Linked DNA regions of Lepisosteus oculatus. The protein of the gene in region 2 purifies or fractionates together with the protein of the main gene of each other region. This does not show direct contact. Links are inferred from orthologs where the notes say so. Each region holds a gene or a part of one and is shown on either strand. Other genes may lie near its edges.

The links. Proteins that work in one complex are often made in the same cells at the same time.
Region 1: the proteins of protein bicaudal D homolog 2 (region 2) and cytoplasmic dynein 1 intermediate chain 1 purify together in Homo sapiens (affinity purification with western blotting; 4 studies listed by BioGRID and IntAct, with this or other methods). This does not show direct contact. The link is inferred for Lepisosteus oculatus from reciprocal best matches to the Homo sapiens genes BICD2 and DYNC1I1.

What each region holds. Positions count from the first base shown.
Region 1 is NC_090705.1:4,229,815-4,237,605, forward strand, and holds the start of cytoplasmic dynein 1 intermediate chain 1, read right to left. Parts: upstream 3,009-7,791; 5' UTR 3,002-3,008; coding exon of another isoform or gene 2,992-3,001; coding exon 2,873-2,991; exon of another isoform or gene 2,780-2,872; intron 2,703-2,779; coding exon 2,588-2,702; intron 2,459-2,587; coding exon 2,427-2,458; intron 1-2,426. Other genes in the region: pdk4 (pyruvate dehydrogenase kinase, isozyme 4), read left to right, coding at 5,767-5,884, 6,882-7,023. UniProt on the Homo sapiens protein: Acts as one of several non-catalytic accessory components of the cytoplasmic dynein 1 complex that are thought to be involved in linking dynein to cargos and to adapter proteins that regulate dynein function.
Region 2 is NC_090699.1:63,445,069-63,452,729, forward strand, and holds the start of protein bicaudal D homolog 2, read right to left. Parts: upstream 3,005-7,661; 5' UTR 2,689-3,004; coding exon 2,455-2,688; intron 1-2,454. UniProt on the Homo sapiens protein: Acts as an adapter protein linking the dynein motor complex to various cargos and converts dynein from a non-processive to a highly processive motor in the presence of dynactin.

The sequences.
Region 1 (7,791 bases), on a different chromosome or scaffold from region 2:
CTTTTTCCCTGAGCTTTTCAAATGCTATCCATAATCATCATTTTGACCCTCATAGAGTAGAGCTGATCTGTTCACTTTGGAAATAAATGTTTATCTTCAAGTGAGCTTTAAATCTACTTTTAAATCCACAGTCTTTATAATTCATCTCACATTGTTTACCACTATGTTTGATCTCTTGTACCTTAAAATTAGTTTCACGTTTCAAAGTTTCATTTCACTAGAACTTAAAATTAAAACATAGAACTGCCAATTAAGGGAGCCACTGTTGCATTTCCTACATAATTGTGAACCAGAGCCCTATTGCCGAGAATTGCTTGGTCTGAAACTGAAATATTTAATGTCATGGAAATAAATGTTTTAAAAAAAAACAAGAAATCAAAGAAAAAAAGAAAAGAAAAAAATAACCACTAAAGGAGTTTAAAATAATCAAACAAAATCTTTATTTTTAATCACAGTAAATAAAACATCACAAAACCTTCTGTTCAAAAATTAATATATTCCAGGAACAGTACAATGGAGTTTTCCGTTAGCTCACAAAATTATTCTGATTGTTCGGTTCATTTATCATTTGAGAATTGTAGCACCCATCCTAATTATCAGCTAATCCTAGAGCTAGGAATCTGTCTCTGGAGATACAGAAGACAAATACATATATATGCTGTATATCCAAAAGCTTAGTTTTACCAATACTTACTTCCCCATATATTAAGCATCTCATGATATTTCAGTTTAAATATAATCTTATCCTGATTAACTTGCGTCTGTATTATTCACACCATCTTTAATACAAAATCAGCTAAAAATGAAAGTAACAAAAAAACATATGCTTCTGCTTGACATGTTAAGTCATATGATGTCATCATAAGAACGTACTGTATGGTGAACAAGGCTGCAGAAATATTAAGGCCACCAATGGTCCCAAACCCAAACCTTTCTGACAGACAAAAATCACGAAACAATCCAGGCACATTAATGAAACATAGATCTGAAACAGAAAAGAAAACAAACTTAAAACACACAAAACAATTGTGATAAATACAAAAAAAAGGTAAATACAGAACATAAAATATAGAAAATATAAAACAAAAACTTAATACCATCAGTTGAAAACATATACTGTAGGTCTACTCAGCACATGGTCCTTCTTCACCTGAAGTCTAGCCCAGCTACTTTGGCATCTGTGTTGTAGAAGATCTACAGTATAATGAGTGAGGGGTCTCACTCTTACTCACCATGGAAACGGCCATGGCCGGTTGTAGGAAACTGGAGTCGCTGGGAAAACGTGTGAACATGGGAAGAACATGCAACCTCCACCCAGAATGACCACAGCCCAGAATCAAACCCAGGGCTCTGAGGTAGCAGTGCTATCCTCTACACTACACTATATATTTAGATATATGTTAATGTAAATATGTACTGTAGAAGTATTCTTACATATATTTACCAGATATACAGTACTTCTGTACATTTACACAAACTAGACATTAAGCAGACAGAAGCAAAGGAAAACAGACTAAAACACTGTGTAACACAAGCTGTCTGGTAGTACTATATGTACTGCAGTAGTGCTTTTATGCACTGGGTGGATGAGAAGTGCAATTCTGGCACAGTGAGCAGGTCTTACAGACTAACTGTGTTAAGGGGGAAATTTCTGCAAAGATTTGTCATTGACAAGCCCACACATGCATGCCACAGAAGGCTTCATCTCTGGTCAAAGGCCAAGAAGGGCACTGTTAGAATCCCTGACTCTCTTTGGTATGATGTGTGCTGCTGACTGGCCAAAGATGGTGATCAGAAAAAGCAGTATAAATTCTGCCTAATGTCAATAGGGGTCTCAAGTGTGGCTCAGACAAGTCTTTGCCAATACTCACCTGTCCTAAGACACAATAATTGCTCTGGATGAAAGACATTACAGCTCTGCCATGTCACTGGACACACAAAACCGGTCCTTGCGAAAGAGTCCCAATAATCCCAGAACTGGATCCCAGTGAGATCTGTGCTAGACCAGCTAGGCCCACAGACCAGTGGATTGCTGATCTCATCTACAAAATACTGAACTAACATCTTGATGCACTAAAAAAGTCAAAAGGTGGCATCACATAGTAACAACCCTATTCATTATTATGTTGTAATGACTGTACAGGCAGATAATAAAACACTATTCTGCCGAGAGTCTCCATACTTCCGTCAAATTTGTTACTACATGTATGTTAATTACATCCATCATACTGATACCATACATAATTAGTAAGTCAATAAATACGCATACTGCAAGAAAGAAATAAACGACCTACTGTTTTGCTCCGTCATTTCATTTTAATGCTTCTATTATGTACGAGACGCTTTCCTTCAAAACATTAATATCTACATACAATACGAAAATGAATCGTATTAGGTCAAAAATAAAACAACCTAGCTGGGCTCACCACCAGTGATGTGCAGCGTTTTCCCTGCCGTACTGCATGAAAAGGAAATAAAAACATTCAGAAAGGGGAAAAAAAAACAACAGAAAAAAGCAACAGAAAAATGAAATGACACGGCATTCAGAACAACGCAGGCTCACGCGTATTTAAAATGCATGTCGTACCTTCTTGTCTGTATTCGCCCCTCTAGATGGTTTTTCAGAAAACTGCTGTATCACCGCAGCCCGCAACTGCCGGCCTGACTCCCTGCAAGTGACAGCAATTCTGAACGTGTCGTAGCTGCAAAAAAAAAACCCTGTTGTTTAAAATCCCACTCGAAAAGAAGAAACTAGAACGCACTAAAAAAATGCACCTACGCGGCTCCGATCTCCCCTCCTAAGTGTATCACTACACTATCTGATGTACTTCCTTTCCTTCTCTCAACCGGTGGGATACGCAGGAAATCCCACCTTCTGTCCCGACAATGAATGATGTCAATCCCTGGAATAATTCTGCAGCAGATGCGGCTTGTTATTTGAATTGCATCGTTAAAATGGCGTTCAGACGAAGAAAGCCGAGACGAATACATGAGAACACCGGTTTGTATTCAGACTTGAATCTAAAAATATTAACCACGGTACACTGCATATTTTATTCTGCATATTTTATGCCTGCATCAGATTTGTCCTAATGTAATGTAGTACAAAATACAAGCTTCCATTCAACATTTTTCGATAGCATGATTACAGACGCACTGTACCATCAATAGTGGATACACTGAATGTATCAGATTAATGTCTTACTGATTTGAAATTATAGATAATACTCACTGATTAGAATTTGTGTAGAAATCCCCAAGAATGTCTCCTTAAATGCCTTATATAATTTAAAGATTAAAATTAGCATTTGAGGGCAACAGGATAACTGATTCTAGTACAGTATTTAAAATGGTCAAAGGAACAGACAGAGACCTGAGCAGAATCATTTGTTCAAAGCCCAACCAAGGGAAAGTGCATTTTATGCTGAGCAAGAGGCCTTTTTCTAACACAAATGGCGGTGGGAGTCAGGAGCAAGTTTCTCACCCACGATGCCGAAGAAATGGCTGGATGGGATTCCTCAGATCAATAGGTCACAAAAAAACACATACTGTAGGCTAGATGGGCTCACTCTGTGGTCTGTGTGGATCCTAATGCCCCAGTATAGTGACGGGCATACTATACTGTAAAAGGGTGCCATCCTTTGGATGAGACATAAAACTGAGGGCCTAACTCGTTAAAAAACAAAAAAAAGTAGGGATGTTAATCCTGTGTCCTGACCAAATGTCTCATTGGCCTTTACCAATTGTGGCCTCCTAGTAACCCCCATCTCTGAACTGGCTTCATCACTCTGTTCTCCTCCCCACTGAGAGCTGGTGTGTGGTGATCGTACTGGTGCACTATGACTGCCGTCGCATCAGCCAGGTGGGGCTGCACACTGGTGGTGGTGGAGGGGAGCCCCTGTTACCTGTATAGGGCTTTGAGTGGAGTGTCTGGAAAAGTGCTACAGTATTTAAGTGTAAGGAATATTATTATTATGAACCCTAGAACGAGCACACACCTATTCGAGGGGGGTAGGGAGGTGGGAATGTGTGTAGTGGAGCAAAACTCATTTGGCTGATTGACGTCCGGTGACTGGGGCTACTGTGTCAGATAGGAGGGGATAAACACAGTCACTCCTCCTGTCTCTGAGGAGTCGAAGGGACATGCAGGTGCTGGAAGCATGTTTGTCTCATGAGCTCGCTGTCCTTTCTGGTACAAAAATGCATGTACAGTCTGTACAGTAGCTGCCCGGTTTGTCTCACTGGGAGATGACAGCCACATTGACACACTCTGCTGTTAAAGCTTAGATTATTCCTCTGGGAATAACAGCACCCAAGAATTAAAGGGTATTGAAAGGCCAGGGCACGAGGAGGCTGGGACCCCTCTACAGAGTGCCCAGGTGCAGATGGGGTGGAGGAGGGATGACAGAAGACAAATGCAAAGGAGAGAAGGGGCTTAGGATTAGTATTGATAGTATTTTTTAACTCAAAGAAACGTCAGGAATGATCAAGACTCAGGACACAGGTGGCTCTGTGGCTCAGGATCGGTGCCTGTGGCTGGAAGGTTGCTGGTTTGTATCCCGCAGCCAGCAGAGGAATCCTACTTCGTTGGGCCCCTGAGCAAGGCCCTTAACCCCAACTGCTCCAGGGGCGCCGTACAATGGCTGACCCTGCGCTCTGACCCCAAGCTTCTCTCCCTGCCTGTGTGTCTGATGGAGAGCAAGCTGGGGTATGAGAAAAAGACAAAATTCCTAATACAAGAAACTGTATATGGCCAATAAAGTGATCTGATCTTATCTGAGACCGATTGGCTTGCTGCTGTCACCCCTCCCATATTTGTGTTGTAAACTCCATTTAATCTTTGCTTTCTGTCCCAACAATCTAATTTTCAAAGACCCTGCTTATTGATGTTCTACATACCGTTGTTATCTGGGGCTGTGTGGGAGCCAGAGCCTAACCTGGCAAGCCCAAGGCAGGATACACCCTGGACGGGACACCAGTCCATCACAGGCCAGACACAGACACACACACACTCACACCAGGACCGATTTCCCCAGAAGCCAATTAACCTACCAGTATACTAAAACTGGAACGATACAGAGATCGACAAGAGGTGAAAATAAAATTAAGGACACTAACTAAACAGCAGGTACAAGAGAGAAAACTACAGCATCACCACATCAAAAAAAGAAGTTTACAGGCAGCCCAAATGTGGCTGAGTGCCAGGTTCTTTTGGGGATGGTGCTGCAGGACAATTGCGCGCACTAACGAAAGTCATTCATTTCGAGGCAGTTACTGCCATTGTTCAACGAAACTCGGGACGTGAAAGTAAACAGCTCAATTTTTCTGCGGTACCCATCCCCGGGCCTCTCGGCTATTTTCAAGAGGGGTGTCCCGGCACTTGTTTGTGCCACGGCCAGCCCTCCCTATCCCTGTCATGATTGGTTTCAGGTACTGTCAGTCTCCTTGTGGTCAACCTCAGCCTGCTGTTTGTTGCTGTGAGGAAGCGTAGAGTTAACGGAAGGCTCTTGACGGGAGAATGCAGCTGAGAGACGGTTTCAGGAGCCTGTCGTGAGTTTCAAGAAGTCCAATCGCAAGACTGAAGAAAACCAACATGTTTCTTTAGTCCAGATTCTCGCGTCGCTTTTCTGTGGAAGGAACTGCTTGGCGACCCAGGGCTAAAAAAAAAAAAAACAAACCCCAACGCAAAACGGATTTACAGCAGAAGGAAGGTGCATCGCGTCCCAAAGACGACTCAGGGTCATTGGATTCGAGGCAGAAGTCAGCATGAAGTTTGCACAATTTTTAATCAAGAACGCCGCAATGGCAAATGTGCCAAAGCAAATCGAGAGATTCTGCAAGTACTCCCCTTCGCCGTTGTCAATGAAGCAATTCTTAGATTTCGGTGAGGGTTTGTTCTCTTAGGTATTATGAAGTCTTGTCGACTGCTGAGCTACCGTGCAGTTATTACTGTAATTGTAATTTACCATCTGTGGACGCACAATTCTTTCGAGTCGGAAATGTCTTTTTTTAGGCTGTTGCGCGAAGCAAGGAGAGGTCTGCTCAGTACAGACCAATTTTAACGCGACGCACAGGGGCAAATGCGTGCTTTCTCTTTTATTTCCGAATATTTTCATGAGATGTGTGTTGGAAGGATTCCTTACGAATGTCTAGGAAAATACGGAAACACTCTCGGGACACACGAGTCTCGGGTGTGCATGCTGTGTGCAGCCCGTGACAGCTGGAGCTGTTTTTCTCGTTCAAAAAAGCAACGTGTCTCCAGTTGTCCGGTCTCGGACGGAAAGGCGCTGATGATGTCTTACAATTTCCTCCCACCGTTATGCCAGTAAACACATGTTTTTATTGTTGTGGTTGTTGTTTTAAAAGAGGTCGTGGTAATGCGTGGTACTGTAGTTTACAGCGGGGTTTGTTTTCTTTTTTTTTTTTGCTTTGCGGTTCCCTTCGTCGTCTGATATTAAGCGCGCTGCCCAGCTGTTGTTTTGGTGATTCACGACGTTTTCAGCGTCTACTTTGATGCCACCCACTGTCCTGGTTAGGTTAGCGTCGGCATTCAAGCTCAAGAGCCCTTCCTGCCCGTCATTACTTTCTACTTCACGAATTACTTTTTAAACCCCCCGATACCTGCGCCAGTGACGTCATCCCTAGCGGTTACAGTGCGCGTTCTAAGAAGCCCCATCAGTTTCTAATGAGCTCCACACATGGAGCAAAGCTACAAAAACAAGGCTCCCTTTTCTCAAGATCACTGAAGGACGTTCATAGAAATCGTCGAATCTTAATGGAACTATTAAGAATAGACACCTTTGCGCTCATCGGTTTTTAATCTCGACAGTTAATCACCCCTGTACTACTGTACATTGTTGTTCCCCCTGTCGTTTCTCTAGGTTCTTCCAATGCCTGCGAGAAGACCTCTTTCGTGTTCCTGAGGCAGGAACTCCCTGTCAGATTGGCTAACATCATGAAAGAAATTGATTTCCTTCCTGACAAACTTCTGAGTACCCCATCCCTGCAGTTGCTGACCAGTTGGTAAGGAGGGATTTCGTTTTTTTTTTTAATGCATTTTGCTTGCAGCAACACTGTAGCTACTGGATTTCTCCAAACCTAATATTCGAAAACGGATTACAGCTAATTCGTTAGCGAATGCATTTCATTTAATAGCTTGCTGCTTCTTGTTAGGAACTGTTGCTTATTATTTCTGTTTTGCATTGTGGATGACTCTGCTGCTGCACAGTCATTTTAACAGAAAATGGTTCATAAGAAGGTCACTAGTGAAAGCCAGATGTCGCACTGTCATCTTTTACTAAAATGTCGTCTCTGGATCCATGCTTCTTTCTAGCTATGCACTGTGCTGAGTATAAGGTTTGAAATCAGTTACTCGGGGGAGCCCAGAGTTTCACTGCTATGGCAGAGCTAGAGTTTTGACAGCCGTAGCAACTGTATGGCTTGCAAAATGAAAGGCCCTTTTCCAAGCTTATGTTGCATCTACTGTCCATTTTAAATCCCAAAGTAATACCCTAAAAATGTAAAACAGACTTCCCTTTTCTGGCAAATGGGCAAGATGGACCCATGTTCTTGTTTGAGGCATTTCTTACAGTACATTCTGTACCTCACTATGACACATTCATTTTGCCATGATGAGTTACAGCAAGCCGTGCATGCAGGTGTGATTGTTGTATTACTCGTTTCTGCAAGGTGAGTTCATGAATAAAGGCATGGCAGTTTCATTATGTCCCCTGTCATTCAGCTGTCATTTACGAGCACTGCGGTGTAAAAAGACACCCAGAGAACATTGTC
Region 2 (7,661 bases):
ATTCAACTCATTTCTGCTTCCCAAAGAGTTAAGCCTATTACATTTTCTTCATAACAGCCACATTCACCAGCCTGCATCTGGAATTGCGAACCGACTTTAAAAAGCCGAAAAAGACTTTGGATAATCAGACTGTGGTGGAAAGAGGTTTTCAGGCCATAATTTTCCTGTAAAACACTCATTTGTGTTGTCTTGGTTACCCGTTGAGACAGGCCAAACAACAGCTTGCTCTCCCTAAGTGTTGTGGGAGAGCCAGAGGAATGCATGGGAAATGAATCACTGTACAGGCAGCCTCACGGCCCCTTTCAGTCACAGACCGGCTGCCCAGCGAGAGGTGGAAACGCTGAAGTCACTGCCTGCAGCTCAGTGCTGGTTCCTCACCAGACCATCCCTCAAACTGTGCACCTAGGGGCTTTCTGCTGTCTGCACAAAGAGAGCTCCATTCTCCCCTGCATCGGAGAAGAGTGCATACACCCCAACTGTACTGCTGGAATACACTGAGAAACAATGAAAGGGCTTTGTGGTTCCTGTTCCGAGTTCCTACAATTTGTTTGAACAAAGAAAAAAAGAGACAAGACTACTCAAATACGCACACCCGCGGAGAAATAAACAAGACCCAACACTGAGATGCAGTGTCTTCTGTGTTTGCTTGGCAATTACAGAAAATGGTTTTTCCCCACATTTATTGAATCCTCGAATTATTGTAAAAAAACGATAACAGTTCCTTCACTTTCTAAATATCATACACTAATAATTTTTTGTTTAAAAAAAAACTAAAAAAAGCTGAGCACTACAACACAGAGCTAATAACAATATCTAAAAAAAACCTTAGATAAATTGACATATACTGGGTATCATTGCAGATATTGGGTATGGATTATGTACTGAATATATACATATTCATCATGGTTATAGTTTCCCACTAAATGCAGATCTCCACATGTATAAATACTCCTAATGTAGTTTTTGTCTTGAAAGTATAATATTTATACTGAAAAATAACAGTAAAACAAAATGCCCTACCAAAGTAAAATACTCTGCTATTTCTTGCCCTATAAATCTTTTGTTCTTGAGGCACTCTAGCACTATAGAGGCGTTCTGTTTCTCACACTGCAGTGAAAACCACCAACGAGCTCCATATTTGACCACTTTCTTTTGCAGAATGGCATCCTCAGACGAATCTTAAACATTTGTCTGAACCTGCTAATCTTACAGTATATAATCGACATCACCAGTTTACCGCCTGTTGAGGCTGCAGACACTCATTCTGGCGCGAAAATAACTTGATCCTTCAGGGTTCCCCCTCCACCAGGGAACCCACCAGCATTCCTCACATTCCACCACGGTCAAAACTTGTCCGTCCATTCCTCGACGCACTTTAAACTCACTGGTCGACTGGTCTCAGGCTGGCTTAACCTACTAACAATAAGGCTCTTCAGTTTGTGCAGCGCCCAATCTCAAGATAAACACCCTATATACATTTTAATGTAACTAGCAGGTACATTAAAATTAAAAAGGGCAACTTCAATAGCTTTCACTTACTATATATTAGTCTATATTCATATATGACATTCTAGAGGAGGCATTTAGGTTATATATATACATGTGTGTGTAAAATCAAAACATGAAAATCTACCAGATTTAATAGCTGACTAAAATGCGAGGTTATCTCAACGTTATCCAAGCCAAATTCGTCTTCCCTTCCATAATCAGCCGGCCGCCCTGTAGAGGGCGATAGATCTAATCGAGGGGAAACAAAAACTGCAATAAAGGTTCAAAAACGGAACAAAAATCACAACGGGGCCGGTTGAACCCGTTTAAAAACCTAACAAAAAATCTAAATGAACGAATCCCGACTTCTGTTTCTTCGTTCAAACGTTTCTGAAGAGCTGTAGTTGTAAAGATACCATTCAAACGAGAACGCGAACTCCTCTTGCAAATGGATACGCCTAGTTTTTCGTTGAAAGTTTATGCTACAAAATGCTTCTGCATCTCTTTTGACGTTATAAAGGAAACTTAAACTGCCAAACTGAATTCGGACACCCTATATATAGTTGCATATAAAAGACAACATAACCCCGGAGGTGGGGTGGAGACTGAATGCGACAAACTGAATCTGGTGATCGTCAAGTGCCACACCAGCAGCGCCGATATCTAGGGCTACAGCGTTGGAGATGCCAACGTTTTTAACCCTGAAAAGACGATCTTGTTTTAACGGAAACGGGGACAGCTGAGGACATAATCCCTCTCCCGACGGATGCAGTGCGTATCCTTCCCAAGAAAACGTTTTAAAAAAAAAACCCAACAACCCCCTGTCTTAACCGATATTCCTTTTGACAGCTGAAGACCAAGCTGAATCAGCGACTTGCCGAGAAATGTTTCACCGCCTGCGCAACAACGTTGCGGGCAAACATTTCTGTTTGTTTCTTTTTTTTTTTATTACAATGTATCCCGTACCTCTTTGAGCTGGTCGAGCTCCTGTCGGACGGTCTCGTACTCGGCTTCCAGGTCGTCATACTGCTGCTTCAGCTGCTGCTTCTCCTCCAGCACCGCCAGCCCGTACTCGGCAGCCTGGATCTTCTCCCGGGTCGTCTCGCTCAGCTCCCGGGACAGCCGCTCCACCTCCGCCCGGAGCCACTGCGGTCCGGCGTCCGGCACCACCACCGACCCGGGATACTCGTCCACGGACATCTTGATCTCGGCTGGCCGGCGGCACACGCAAGCGGGGTGGGGATCTAAAAGCAGTGAGCAGAGAAGCTTGAACCGGATCCCTCGCCTCTGGAAGGACCGCAAACGCCCCTTCTGATTTTAAAAAAAGGGGGTTTTAAAGTCTTCTGCGTTTGAACTGCATGTTTGCTCTCCTTCCCTAGCAGTTGCTGTATTTCAGCCCTTCCGCTTTTTTTGTTTCATACGCGAAAACCAGCCCTTTTTTTTCTTCTTCCCCCCAGACCGTTATACTGGTCTCTTTTAAATCTAGTTCATGGTTGCGGCTTCTGGTGCCCTGAGCTTCTCCTCCTGCTCAGTTAATACTGATGGGAGGGGGGGCTGCGGACTGTCGTGAAGTCATCCCCTGGGATGCGCTCCAAGGGAGCGTTGGCGCATACCGGGAGATGCAGTGCTCTTGTCGGCTGTAACTACAGCGCGACGGGTCAAAAGAACTCCAACTCCCATGATCCACTGCTAGTTTGTACATGTGGACAGCTCACTCGCTGCCAGAAGCTGTAACGCTCGCTTTGACTACTATATGGAATATGTGGAGGGCGGCAGAAGCCCGAAGAGTGAGCGGTAGCGCCACCTTCAGGTTAAAAAAAAAAACGGATATTTTATACCGCTGTCTGCATTTACAGGCAGGCCCGGTCAGAGATGAGCTACGGTGCGTGGAAAACTGCATTTGGGAATTGGTATTTAGAGTCCTTCGGTAGTATTAAGTCGTTAAACCTGATTGCATTCGAGCGTGTGTTCAATGACAAGGAAACGATTTTATTATCGGTTACAGTTTTGTAAATGAACATAACGAATACCGATTTGTCTTATTGAGCTCTTCATTATAAATATATCAAATGTATTGTATTTAACCTATACCTTGCATATTACGAAAGCAGACCAAAAGTAGATTATGTCAACGAGGGTAAATCAGTACTTCGTAATGTATCTGACGAAGGTTTGCGTTCGAGATCTTGTACACGTTTGACTTCGAAACCACAGAGTTTAAAGAATTATCTTTCACGTTTCCACTACTACAAGGATTTAAATTATGCACTGCCAGTAGAACGTCATTAACTGTGATGTGGTGTAGTATCATAATAATTAATTGCATTGTATGTCGTGTTTTCATCCCAAAGGATCCCAAAGCACTTTACACATAAGAGGGGACTCACTTTGGCACCTGGATGCCATTATCTGCCACTATACCGCAGGTCAGTTGAAGAAGTGAGAAGTTACTTGTAAAATCCCTGAGCGCGATTTAATTTGAATCCCAGGGTGAACAACACCCGTACTCTTACAAACAGCGCCCAGTGATCCTTAATGACCACGTATCTAAGACTACCGTCTTACATCTCAGCAGCAGGATGACACTTGTTACTGCAGTTCTGACACGTGGGAATTGATGGTACAATCCCTTAGAGATGGGGAGCGCACCACTGTTTCTTGCCTTAATCGTGAGTCTTGAGGCGGGGGCTGGGGGCGACATGTCTTTGGGGTTTCAGTGGGCACCTTCCATCATCAGTGCATTGTCTATGAGCCCACAACATCTCCAGAAGTCTCCACAGTGGTTCTGGCGTCCCAGACCCACCCCCAACCCCCTCTCTATGCCTGCCCAGCCTTTTTTTTTACTGTTTACTTGGGGGGCCTGCAGGGGTCACTGGTCTTCAGGCAGAGACAAGTTCCTGGTCACCATACTGTGGGCTCTCATTTGGAAATTCTGGTCTAGAGAGGAAAGAGCACCACCTAGTGGTCCACCAACATTTTATTCTGCTAGATTCCCATTCTTGCAACTCCAGGATGTTGTACAATGTCATTTGGCTGAACAACTTACATAGTGCCTCTAAGCAAGTTACCTCTCTCAGTTTGCTCCATTAAATAACCTCAGAGGAAAATTGGTACATTCCAATTTGAGTCCCATCATTGTAAATTATTTGGTTAAATAAATTGGGATCTGACCTTGCTCGTCACTAGCAGGATAAGAAACTACAAATTTGGATACCGCTCTTCAGAAAATATAGCATCAGGCCGAGTGAAAGCGAAAAAGGAGAATATTCTTTTTCTTTTGTAATTTGGTGAGAACACAAACCTTAGACTGATACAGTACATCGACTTTGAAAACTGAAGGTCTTTTGTTATGTTTAAAAAGCAAAAGGAAATATTCTGCCAGTGCTGGGTAAAAGTCTGATTCAAACAAGTCGATGATTACATTTCCTTAACCAAAATTAAATAGATCCACCCACTGTAGAAGAAGCAAGAATACTCTGATTAAATCTAAACACTCCACTGCAAGACACTGCTTTCCTATAACATAAACATGTTTTCTGAACTCTCATCATTCTGATATAACTACTGTTATGGCTATGAAACTATGAGATATAGCAGCCTTATATTGTACATTCATATACATGGCATATATCATGAGATATCCTGTACAGTTATTGTTTCCCTTTTCCCACAGTAGTCACAGATGTATTTGCTTTTTGTAAGTTGATGTCTGTGTTTGCTGAAGATTGCCATTCTTGTATTTCTGACAGCTGCGTTTTCTGAGTCTCCCTTTGCAGTCTGTCAGCTTTGCTTCATTATTCGGGTTCTTCCCAGTCAGATGTCATGACATGCCAAAATTTGCTACTACAGAAATATCCAAGACATGCAGCTGTGGTTCTCCAGAAGTCTGTATTCTGAGCAGCAGCTGCAGTCCTTTCTTTGCCAAAATACCTAGCTGTTCATCAGATATTTCAACCAGAGCCACCCCCACACATCGCCACCCTCATATTGTGACGATATTGTGAAAACCATTTAGAAACACATATATTATGAAGTAAATATTTAGAATCATACACATACCGTATTAGTAAAATGAGAAAGACACACGTAAATGTTTTCAACGATCGAATGGGTAAGACTATGGGGGATATTTGCAACGCAATCAATGAAAAAACTGCTGAAAAGTGTAGGTCTGATAATTAGCATAAATCAAGAATATGCAAATCATAAATCAAGGACAAACTGCGCTGTAGCTGTATTGTAATTATGCATTCTTTTAACCCTCCCTGCTTCCCAATTAAGTTCATAAACCCCAGCTTGAGGGCTCACAGCAATTTACATTTTAAGATTTATCTAAACAAACATCATGAATGTATAACAGACTAAACATATCCAAGCAGGGCTGATATGGAGTGGTACATAGCGTGTGATCTGGAAGGCATTGTGTGGGACCAAGAGAAAAGATGTACATGGATGGGTAAAATTGATAATGCAGAGTGGAAAATTGTAACATACTCTGCATAAGATTCTACAGATGGTGCCCAGAGCTCTTTGCCTCAGTGAGTTCATCCAATTCACGTTTTAATTATTTTTCTCCCATTTTAATTATTTTCTCCCATGTGTGGGTGTTGGCAGACAGCAGTTTTCTGAATGGCTGCTCAATATTTAAAGCATAGATTTTGGAAGTGCTCATCAGTTGTTTCAGGTGGATATAATACATATAAATTGTAAATAAGTAGATATGGTATTGTGAAACGCCGAGAGCAGTATATGCTGACAGAAAATCAAGTCTGCTGCCGTCTGCCAGAGGAAAAATGTCCTGACAGAGGACGTGCAGTACACTGGGCAGCATATGGCATGCAAACAGTCACAACCACACCTCAGTGTGAGTGAAGCTTCTATAGATCAGTGCCTTTACCTGCTTAAGTGGCAGGTAAGAAAAGCATTTTAATGACTGCTGTACTTGCATTTTTACATTTTTTCCTCAACTAAATGCCGCACTTAGTAAGCAGTGTTTGTAGTTCTATATGTGTTTGCAAGACGTGCATCCCATACAGTAAACATAACATAAATAAAATGTAAAGTAAGGGAACGGTTTACATGGGTGTAATGTAAGTGTAATTGTATTCCTCAAACATATAATATACTTTTACAATTCATCAAAGTTAACTGTCCGATGTCCGATGGGTTGTGGCAGGTTTCATGGAGCTGTAGGTAACTTGAAAACAGGTAAGGGACTGCTGAAAAACTAAAGCAATTTGTTTCTTTGAAACAGGAAACATGCACACACCCATCATCACTTGAGGAAAGCAGCAGTGTGGAGTACTGGTTGGTGCTCCAGACCAGAGGACTGTGGGTTCAGTTGCTGCTTTCAAGGCCCTGCTGTATATACAGGTCTCCAGGTCGTCACTGAAAATGAGTGTTTGTTCTCAACTAACTTAGTTCTAGGTTTAAAAAAAATTAGATAGATTTAAAAAAAGAAAATAATTTTAAACCTTTCTTTATGTAATAAAATACATGAAACACTTAATAACTCATAGATTCTGTCACAAAGCATGAGTTGGTATAGTATGTCCTGCCTTTCACCTAGAGGCTGTGTGATAATGGATTCTCTGGACCTGTTTTCTGTTCCTGGTTACACGTCATGTATTTTGCTGTGAATTAAACATCATGACCATTTAAAACCTCGTTTATCACTGTATGCACCAATTACTACACTACATAGCGTATGAGTTATGAACAACAAAGTATATGTATTATTGCTTGTTTGATGTGGGGGTTCCAACCACATTAAAATAAAACACAAACCACAGTTTAGCCCAAGCCTTCATGATGTTTGGTGTCCAAAATGTCCCAGTTGTTCATTTGGGTAAATGTCAAAGAAAGATATTGTTCTTATTTAATTAACGATGCACTAAATCCTTAATACGTTGTCAAGTCAAGTCAATAGCTTTAGCAGTTTGACCCTTTCCCTTACAAAAAAATAAAGACTGGGACTATGTAGGGAAAAGCAAACTCATCCATCAGTGAAAGACATCTACTGATGAAGATCTCTTCTATGCACTGTAGTTCTTCCTGGCATACTGCATGTAATGCCAGAGAATCTGAAATAAATGAAGAAAATGTGAAAGGCCTTCAGAATGTGGTGTGAAAACTGTTTTATGTACCTAGGTGTTGGGTATTTGAGATTTTAA